Caenorhabditis elegans: one gene and its partner. The protein of the gene in region 2 interacts with the protein of the main gene of each other region in a biochemical or structural test. Each region holds a gene or a part of one and is shown on either strand. Other genes may lie near its edges. The genes, in order: unc-96 and unc-98.

What was found.
Region 1: the proteins of unc-98 (region 2) and unc-96 interact in far-western blotting, tested with the Caenorhabditis elegans proteins (one study listed by BioGRID).

Annotation. Positions count from the first base shown.
Region 1 is NC_003284.9:618,016-622,944, reverse strand, and holds the start of unc-96 (CRE-UNC-96 protein), read left to right. Parts: upstream 1-1,654; 5' UTR 1,655-1,666; coding exon 1,667-1,765; intron 1,766-2,471; coding exon 2,472-2,620; intron 2,621-4,929.
Region 2 is NC_003284.9:7,569,569-7,575,553, forward strand, and holds unc-98 (Zinc finger protein unc-98), read right to left. Parts: upstream 4,022-5,985; 5' UTR 4,007-4,021; coding exon 3,983-4,006; intron 3,935-3,982; coding exon 3,857-3,934; intron 3,767-3,856; coding exon 3,656-3,766; intron 3,426-3,655; coding exon 3,357-3,425; intron 2,809-3,356; coding exon of another isoform or gene 2,789-2,808; intron 2,568-2,788; coding exon 2,433-2,567; intron 2,391-2,432; coding exon 2,208-2,390; intron 1,405-2,207; coding exon 1,072-1,404; 3' UTR 806-1,071; downstream 1-805. Other genes in the region: Apyrase apy-1, read right to left, coding at 42-152; pcyt-1 (Putative choline-phosphate cytidylyltransferase), read left to right, coding at 2,789-2,808. UniProt on the Caenorhabditis elegans protein: Probable transcription factor required for muscle structure.

The DNA of each region.
Region 1 (4,929 bases), 7.0 Mb from region 2:
AAACTGGGAACAAAAATCAAGTCAAGATTATAGGGAGCTTTTAAGTGACTACGTAAGAAACCATTTGAAGTGAAAAATGAAGGCGAGTCCAGAATAAATCTGACGGGAGAAAGTGTTGATGCTTTCAAATTATTGATCTTTCGAGGGATCTGGCAAAAATTTAGTTGCGCGCCAGATTAAAATCAAAAATTAAGCTATAGTGGTTTTTTCAAGTATAATGTTGATTTTGTGTTTTTTTTCCTGGTTTCGAAAGCACTTTGGCAATTTTCCAAGAAGTTTGAATGATTAAGAAAAATCTAAAATTGTTGATCAACTTTATCATAAGTATTTCAGTCAACACAGATTTTTTTCCAGAAATTTTGAGAGTTATCTTTGATTCCGGAAATGACGGTCTTTTCCTCACTGCTTTTATATTGCCATTTTTTGTACGAGCCACTGTTGCTTTGATTATCTTTCGATTAATTCTGATTCAGGTTTACTTTTTTGATAATTCAAATTTTCAGAGCTACCTGGCGTTAAATGTCACCCTTTTTCCCTTTTTTCAAGAGAAAATTAGTTTTGTTTGTTTCAAGAAACGTTATTGACAATAAATCTTAGGAGTTATCTTAATCTAAAAACTGGGAAAAAAGTAAAACGAATTCAGTCTACAGAATTGAAGTACAGTAAATGATTTTTTTCATCAGCTAGAACATTTTAGAAGCCCTTTTAGATTTCAGGTTAAGCTATCTCCCAAGCATGTAGCCGCAACTGAGATTCTGCAGTTGTTCTAGAAGATTTTCACATCCCCCATACGGCTATTATTTGTCTGAAATTACCGTTTCAAATTTCAGCGGCCTGATCAAGCCTGATTAGATTCATATAATTGTAAAACAAACTGCAATACTTTAACTTGAAAAAATCAGTAACCCGATGGCAGCACCATTTTTCACAAACTGAAACACGAGGACGCCGGCCCGATTTGTGGGGGGGGGGGGGGGGGGGGGTTTGAGAAAAATCATCGAATCGCAGCTAGTGCTCTTTTGCCGAGGGACAAGGAAGAGAGAAAGAGAGGAGATACGCCCGTTGGCTTTACACAGGTTTTGTGTTGAGATCGTCAAGAAGACGGGAGGTAGTCGGGAGGGGGGGGGCGAGAGTGCAGTGATCAGAGAGGCGCAGTCGTTCCCGGCTCTCTGAGCACGCACACTTTTCTCCTCTATTCACGGGAAGACCTCTCAACATTCACCCCACTCTTTTATCTTTTGTATTCGGATTTTTGTTTTTTTTTGTTGGTGCTTTAATTAATTTATTTTTCGATTTTGTTAACTTTTTTATTTTGCTCTGCTAAGTATGTTTAATTTCTCTAAATCTTCAAAACTTACATGTATATATTTGAAAACATGCATCAAATTCTAATTGAAAAAGCCTCCAACCAACTATTGCGAAATACTTTTGTTTTTTATATTGTGGGCCAAAAACACTGATACCCCTATAAAAACATTACCTGTATCCCGAAAAAAACTTGAAACTCTCGCGCGACATTGACATTCCAATCAAAAAGGCGGTGAGCAAATCCCCTGAGCACCACTCAATTTCTCAAACAGAAAAGTTTCTGTCTCATACATTCTTGCCAACTTTTTCATCTTTTTCTACTCATCCCTGAGCTGTTACTTTCCAGAAGACTTGGATAATGAGTGAAACTGAAGATGTGAATCTCAACCTGGATCCGGAGAAACCCAAAGTTCGATCAGTTGTGAGATCAGACAGCGGATTGGAAAATGAGATTCCTGTAAGAAGAGAAGGGTGGTGTGAAAAACGAGAAATATATATATATATGTATATGCTTTGAAAGTTTTGAGTTTTTTGAGAGTTTAGGCAGCATTTTACATTTTATCGGTTTGCACCCAGTCCGTACATTTTTCGAAAAGCTTTAGCCTATTTTTGAAGATAGTTGAAAATTTTGAAATTGTTTCTCTTCAGTTGGGATTTTTGAATGTCAAATACTTTGATTTAAAGTCTAAGGGAATACAAAAAAGTATGAACTGGAAAATAGTTTTTCAAAAGTCAATACCTCCCTTTCATATGAACTGAGAATCTTTGATCACATTTTACAAGAGCATAATATAGAATGTAGTGTATGTCTAGACAATTTTTCTGTGATGCCGAAAAAAATATAGAGGATTAAAATAGACAAAAAATGTAGACTATGATCACAAAACGCTCATCTTATTAAATATACTCAATGTTTCTTAAAACAAACAAGTAGTTTGGGATCTGGATAGATTAGGATATCAATTGATTAATTCGCAGTACGAGATTTAAAAAAAACTGTTTATGCAGTTTTGTAAAAAAAAAAGACTAATAACGTCAACAAAAATTATATTGGATGCAACTCTCAAAAATTAATTTGAAATTGGTAAATCTTCACGCTTTAGTTTATGACAGAATTAGAAATTCTAGTAATTGCATAAATCCGAATACTCTCCATTTTCCAGAAAATTTCCGGAACCTCATCAGCATTAATAGAAGAGGGGTTATCTCTGCTCAACCTCAAATCTTCTTTGAGCCCAAATGTTGCTCCAGTTGCCGTAGATTTGTTGGATAGAACGTGCCCAAGTCCAGATTACGGGCTGACGTCAGAGAGGTTAGTGAACTTTTTTCTTTCAAGTAGTGAGCTCCCATTATATTTCAAAAGTTTACGATACCGTGTATAAAAGATATTTTGATTGTTTTTTCCTCCACGGGTTTAAGCTTCGGCTGAGGCTTTCACTCATCAATTTGGTTTTATTAATGCATATTTATCTTGAAAAATGGTTTTAGCTACTTTTATCTATTGCTTGAAGTGAATTTCATCTGCGTGTGAATTTTCAACTACTTTTAAATAAATTTTCGCTGAATTATGGTTCTGCAACCTATAATACTATGTTAGCAAATGTAACTCAAAAAGTACCTAACAAGAACAAAAACAAGATTGTAAGAGTTATCAAAAATGACCGAGAGCAAGATTTCTGCCAGATGTGTAACTGAGTGAGATATGTGTACGGCGGAAACAACACATTACACAATGACCCGCAGAGTTTGATTAGATTTGTTAATGTTTTGGTTTTGAACGCGGTGAAAAAGAGATCAACTAGGACTTGTCAAAATCCAAAGTAATCATATTTTAAATGTTTATTTTTTTATCAAAAGAACAAATCGGTGTAATTTGACACCTTTAGCAAGAATTATCACTGAAATCGTGACGAGAGCTAAAAAAACTAGATGCGTCTTCAGGCTACAGTAGCAAATTGTTGACAGTGAAAATTATAAGTATTGTTTTTTGATTCCTAGTTTATTCTTTTTTTTTAAATTTTAACCTTTATAAAAATATTAAAGATTTCCACTTCTCAGTTACCTCAACTGTGATTTTTGCCGTGAAGCAAAGATGATTGAAAAATACCGTTAGAATCTTGTATTTTTGACCAACTTTTCTACGCAGTGGTAACACCATAATGATGATCGTAACTATCGCAATAAAAATGTTCCCACTTCTACCATAATCATTAGTCCTTCTTTTCACATGTTTTTGAACATGTTAGCAGTGTTGACTTTAAATTAATTTTTCTCCGGGCTGTCATGTACCTACTGGATACAGGGAGGATATGTCTGAAAACTTAATTTGGACTATTCCAAGAACACTATAAGTGACTGTAACTGCTAAATACAATTTATTGAACTTCCACAGCTTGATATTACTGATAGTAAAACATTTACTCATGACAATTATATTAGGTGTTCAAGGACTAATTATAGAGCTTGTAAAATTTGAAAAAAATCGGTTGCCAAATTGGGAATTTTTAAAAATTTTCTTGTATGTAGTGTTTCAGTCTGTGACATTTTTTTAGAGAAAATTCTATTATAATTTGTGTATATCAATGGAAAATTTTGGAAGTAGATGTTTATTGGTTTCATTCACAACGGAACAAGATGATTTTTTCTCGTAAATGGCATGACTCGGAATAAACTTTCTAGTGTTAAAAATGATAGAAAAAATCTTAGATTTTTTAGAAAAATGCAATTCTAACCAATTGTTATGAACGCACGTGCATTCATTCGAAAAAAATAACGTGGGAGGCTCCAAAGTCTAAAAGACCGCTGATAAATTTAACTGTAAACTGCTGAAATATACAAAAAAAAAAGTGAAAACAAGCAAATTATTAAGGTAACCTTTCTAATAGTTTTTAAAGAAATCGTTAAGCTCATAGAAATGTATTTCTATAATTGCGCCTCATCATGTATGTATTACTTTTCAATGTTTGATAGAGTCATTAATAATTTGAAAAATATTGTTTTTCCCCAAATGTTTGAAATAATGTACAAAATAATGTTTTCATGTGATGCTTTAAACACATAGTTGGTTTTAAGTAAAAAAACAAGCCTAAGAAAATTAGTTTAAGTTAAACAATCACATGCGAAACTTAAAAAAACTGCTCGTTTCAGAAATTTAAAAATGAAAAACTCAGAAGCAGAACTGTTTTTTTCGCTTCTTATCTGCGCTATTCCAGCATTCACGTGGTGTCAGAGTATCTCATTTTGGTTTGATCTACATAGATCTACAAAAAAATGCGGGAGTTGAGACGCAAGGTTCTCAACTGATTTCGCATGGTAAAGAATGTGCTGACGTCACATTTTTTGGGCGAAAAAATTTTCGCATTTTTGTAGATCAAACCGTGAAAGAACATCCTGACACCACGTGAACATTTAAAAAGCCTTTGTTTTTGCGTGACAATTGTTCTTACGGTTTTCAGTTTAGTGAGATTCGGACGTAGTCTGAACTTATTACTTAATAATTTATTATTTTTGTATCACAGTTTGAGTCTTTTCAAATACTTTCCTCATTCACTCAGACAAAAACTGTTTCTTGAACCGTACGACCTTTTTTCTGTTCTCCGTCCAACTGAAGTGCATCCTATT
Region 2 (5,985 bases):
AATGGATATGTGCGCAATCAGCTGAAAATGTAAAGAGTTACCTCTTCCTGTTCGCTAGATTTGTTGAATTGGGTACCCGAATAAAAGGCAATAGCGGTCACAAACCCGAAAAGAAGGAAGTTGAAAAAGTTTGAGTTACTTTCTTGTGTCATACCTAAAAATTATTTTTGTGAGTCTTAATTATAAGCATTAATTGAAAGTAAGAGATTTGAGAAAATATAAGTAGAATAAAAAAATAAAAAATGGTGTAGTTTTCCGAGAGTACTTCACGGCCGCGTGGCCTAGTTTTTTCAATGGGGACTCGATATTAATAACGAACACAAGTGCGTGTCCCAAATTGCATTTGCTTTATTGAGTGAGATATCGTGGCTGTGAAGTGGCAAAATATTTCGAGAACCGTTAATTAAACAATTTTATACATTTTTAAATAATGAATTCAAAATGATGCAAAATAAATTTAAAAAAACGTACAACTTCTAGAACAACGAACAATTGAGCTGTCTCGCTATCATCATCTTATCATTTTTGCTATCAAAAAATCGGTTGTGGGTTGTCGTAACACATCACAGAAGAAAGATTGATTGTGAGAGAGCCGGACAACATTTGTGCTAGCGGTCAATGTCTTTCCCGCTTAACATGGTCCCAATTGTACGATTGACCAGGAATCGATATTTCAGGGAAAGAAGAAAATACCAACAAGACATGACGAGAACAGTATTTATAGAGTGTGTCTGAGTGCGTTGGAAACACACGATTTTTGTGCTTTGTAGTCAATTGTAGTTTATGTTGAACACAAAACGAGTTTCTGCTGCTGACCGTCTTTATAACGAGCGTCTTAAAAATGTGAGGAAAAGACAAAATGACAAGAAATGAGAAAACGATAACACTAAAGAAAAACGTTGATTTAGTTGAAAGAAAGAAATATGAGTTATATGAAAGAACCATATCGAATATACATTTTGAAGGACAAATATTGTTAAAGCTAGCCGATGTTGAAATATATATATATTTTACAAGATCTGGATAGATTTAAATACTAAATTAGAAAAATTTTAAATACTCAGGGGTTGCTCAGAATCGCGGAGTCACGTATCCGCTTGTTCTTGGGAATAAATAGTAGCTTCTGGAATCAGTGTACCCAACTCCTTCCCTTCCCATCATATAACGAGATGCTCGAGGATTGAAGTACTTCTCTCCACGATGACTGTACATGTGATATGCAAGACCACGACTGTCAGAGTAGCTTTTCGAACAATATTCACAAATGTATGGTTTTGAACGAACGTCGTTGTACACTCGGAGTGGATGCTTCGGCTCGTATCCTTCAGTAACGAAAGCTGGCTGTGGAAGATCTTGCTCGGAGACCGGTAGGACTCGCTTCTTGCTTACTTTTATTGTGGTTGTCTGAAGTATTTCAAATTATATTGGTAATCTTCATTCTTCTCACAAATGTATTCCTTGTTAAAGTAAAAAAACGGTTTCGGCTTTTTTTCCGTGTGATTTTTAACAAAACCAAACGAACGAAATTTGAAATACTACTTCTCAAAAATTACTTAAAAACTTGTTTATGGGGGTTCAAAATTTTGAAAAGGCAATACCCAAATTTCAGTCAAAAACTCGAGTTGTTTCAATTTTTCCCAGTCACAAAGACTTAGGTAGCAAATTGTGGTAATTTTTGGTCCCTAATTGCTTGAAACGTATCTTCATTAACAAAACAACGTAAGGTAAACGACCAAAACATGTTTTTAAATTTGGAACTTTCTTCGGTTTCATAACTTCTGTTTCATAACGTTTTCTTTTTTTTGCACTGAAATTCCATCTGTTTAACAGTTGTGATGCAAGAAGTAAGTGCAGTCGTATCAAATTGCACCCTCTCACAGGCTATCAGCAATTTTTTTTTGTTGAGAAAAATATTTTTTTTACGTCAGAAAGCCAAGACACACAAAGTTTTTGTTCACAATTTTCTCACATCAAGGACTATGAAAACCAAATACAAAATTGAAAAGCGAATGGCTGGATGAAAAGGTTTTGATAGATTTTGAGTCGAAAGAACTGAAGAATAAAAAATCAAACATTAAAACAGCCATAGCTAGATTCTGTTGATTTTTTTCCGAGAAGTTCGTAATTCAGATTTTGTTTCAAAAAGCTCTACTGATTAGTAAAATCTAGTAAATTTATTATTTCTCAGATTTCTCAATTAGACAAACCTCTGGAGCACCTATCAATTCGAGTGGATCGTCCGTGTGCTTGTGATATAACATTTCCGTGTAAGAAAAGAACGTCCTTCCGCATTCACACTTGTACCCGTCAATTTCTGAGTGCTGAGCGGCATGATATTCCAGTTGGCAAGCAAATTCAAATGAGTCTCCGCATTTTCCACAGACATATGGCTGAAACAAAGAGTTTCTATAAGTAATCCAGCGAATGAAAACCTGTGAAACGTCATGTATTCTCTCGTGTGCACGGAGAGTGTTCATGAAGTTGAATGTGAGTCCGCAGAAACGACACTTGTAGAATACAAATCCGTTGTCATCTTTTTGCACACTAGTTCCGTCCTGACGCACTTCCTGCAATAATCACTTTTCATCGACTAAAAGAGTCTCTTTTTCATTTAACGCCTTCTTCATTCCCTCCCTTCTTCAGTTTTTCCTTCATCTTATATTTTTCTTCCTTTTATTCCCATTTCCCTCATTCTTTCACATTCAAGCTGTCAATGCTCACATCTATATTCCGCACATTTGGTTCGTGTGCTGAAAGTGAGCGCATCAACTTCAACAACAACAGCAAAATGTTTATTCACAAACAAGAGTAAGTCAACAATACCCATGTGAATTAGCTTGGGAAAGGAGAAGAATGGAAATGGATAGGTTGAAGGAAAAAAGCATAAGGAGCAGCAAGAAATTATATTCCAAGTTAGTATTTGAAAATGATAAGAGAAAAATAAAATCACAAACAACAAAAATCATAATTTGTTTTTTTTTCTTCTTAGCATCCTGCTGAGCTTTCTCTTCCAACAAATGTACAGGACATGGTTACTTCGACAATGGGCTAAATTTAAATTAAATTAGAACTGAGTTTGTCTTTGTGTATTCTGGCAAATAAGTTTTTACTAGTATGCTAATTATAAAATTAGAAAATAAAACCTTTTCTAAACTATCTAAAATTCAGCAAAAAATTAACAATTTCTCTCAAACAACTCAAAAAATATAGTTTCATTTTCTCCGGAAATTTTGCCTGTACAAACCTATAGACTACATTCCTAATCAATGTTTTTTTAATTAAAAATTATTCAAAGCACGAACTATTCAACAAAAAATGCACAAAAACACACACTTCATAAAAACAATAAAACAAACCTGTTGATCACTGCCATCCAAAGCACCGCCACTCGATTTTGTTGGAGTTTGAGCACTTGAACTTCCGACCTACAATAATTTACTTGATGCTTTTAAAATCAAATTAGGATGGCGCTGTTTTAAAGTATTTAAGCGTTTTCAGACACTATTCAGATAATTCAACATTTTTTCACTTGTATCCAAGGGTTGAAAAATGTCAGTATGAATCCAATCTTAAAAACATTTAAAAAAATTTGCCTTAAAACCTATCAAACATTTCAATCTCTGAAATTCTTTTTTTTAAATTTTACCAAACTCACATATGCTTCAACTGTTGGGGCAACAACTTTCATGATCTCTTTGGGCTTTTCCTTATTTCCATTTTCTGACGATTCTCCATTGATGCCGAAGGTTTCTAGACCATGAACCATCTGGAAGGTATTTTTTTAATCATTTCGCAATACAGACACCCCCGCGTTTTTCTCCGGTTTTTCCGTCATCTCTCGGTTTCTCTAACTCACTTCATTGTTCTTCACGGACATCTTGGCAAGATCACAGGCATTCATCAACTCTTCGAAGTCATCTCTTTCCTTTCTTGCCTAAAAAATTCAAATTTAAGTAAAGCTCACAGTGATCAAGAACAATACCTCTTTGAAGATGTCGTCATCCATTGTTGTATCTGGATATCAGCGGTTAGTCGTCGGAATGGGGGTGAAAATTGTCAGAGGGTAGAATGCTCGGTGTGGCTAGCTGGGGTGCTCAACACACAGTGTAAACTCAAGAGACTCGTCGCGATCGAAAAATGCGAGAAATCGCCTCTGCAATCTCTGGATCTGATGTGCTCTTTTGAAATGCTCCCGCTCTCTCATTTCCTTTCCTCGTTGGATGTTTTGCGGGACACTTCTGTGTCTGCAGTCTCCCTCAATCTTGCTCAACTGTCTTAAAGAAGAAAGAGATCTTGACGACACAAGTAAAAAAAGCGTCTAGATTGCAGTGCTCGACATAACTTCAAAGCGGAATCATGTTTCTGAAATGAATGGCACAGATGCTAGTGTTTGTGGGTGACATACATTTTGTGTAGTACGTTGAACACGTGCAAATGATTTGGAGATGTGGGTACAAACAAAAGAAAGAGTACTTTTTTTTTGAAATAATAATCGAAAAGGATCAACGAAGTTTATATTTTAGAAATTATTCAATATGAATTGTAAAAATATTAAATTACATACTGTAAAACTATTATTTGAAACTATGCAGGATTATGAAGCTATTGTTTTAAATGTGAAGCATCGGTCAGGGTGATTTTTTGTAATCACTCCTTTATACAGTGATAAATAATCTAAAATAATTTTGCTTTCAAAAAGGTAGTTATCATTCAGTTTTCACAAATCACAATCTTGGAACACGGCAAAAATAGTTTTTTCTACATACAAGTTTCATATTCTAACTATGATTTGATCATTTGTATATACATATATTGTAGACATTTAAAAAAATGCAGAATTGCTCTAATATTTTTCATAGGTTCAACTTATTCTAGTTGTGGCAATTTACCACAACTTTGAATGAAAATTCTCAAGAATCTAAACGGTTATGTGGGACTTTTATGACTTTTAATTGGAATAAACATTTTACTGGAGCTGCACCACCTTCTGGATTGATCGGATCTTTCTTTCATGCATCACAAGCGGGCTAAAAGTGCACCAATGTTGAAATTTTACACAACAAAAATGCATTTAATTGTTAAATTTTTAACAAGTATAAAGTAACCAGACCCTTTTTCATTAAAAAACAGTTTTCCGTATTTCCTCTATTAGTCTTGCAGCCTCTATTAGTCTTGCAGTCTCTAATAGTCTTGCATCCCTCTTTTTTCAAGACCAGTAGTACTTTGCGGAAACGTCAGCAAATTTGATATTTTTGAGAAAATAACCTAGAAAATGATCAAATAATTTATGAAATATTGCAAAAGTATATATTTTTATCGTTCAGCAAGCTATCGAGTTAAGTTTTCAACAAAAAATAGGTCATTTTTTCAAAGATGGGGCATTCGAAAACTAGTCTTGCAGCCTCTAATAGTCTTGCAACCCTACAGACCAATGGAAAATTAGTCTTGCATGCAAGACTAATAGAAGAAATACGGTATATGAAACAGTCTCACTACTCGGGCTAAATATAAAGTTTTAAAAGAGAACAAGCGACTCACTACGAAATTTGTTTTTTTTTTCCAGCACATTTTGAGTCAATACGTTTATACCACGAACCAATAGCCCTACTTTATAAAATCCTCTCTTGTCAGAAAAGCCGGACCTCCTAGATTTCCATACTTACTGTGTACTTGTGGCCTCACAAAAACTTCTTACATAAGTATCTTCCCTTATGGAACAGTAAAACTACATTATTACCGGTTAAACGTTCCCGCCCCGCCTTCGCAGCGTTTATTAGCTTTTTACCCCTTGATAAATTTCAAGGGGTAAAAAGCTAATAAACGAATAAATAAAAATTTAAAAAAACTGGTACATTTTAAAACGTTTTTATAGGATCAAATTATTGGTTCTTTTTTTAATACTACATTCGTTTTTAGTGTCAAATATTAATTTCATTTTGTGGGCAGAGGAACATTTTGAATATGAATTTAGAACAACGCACCATG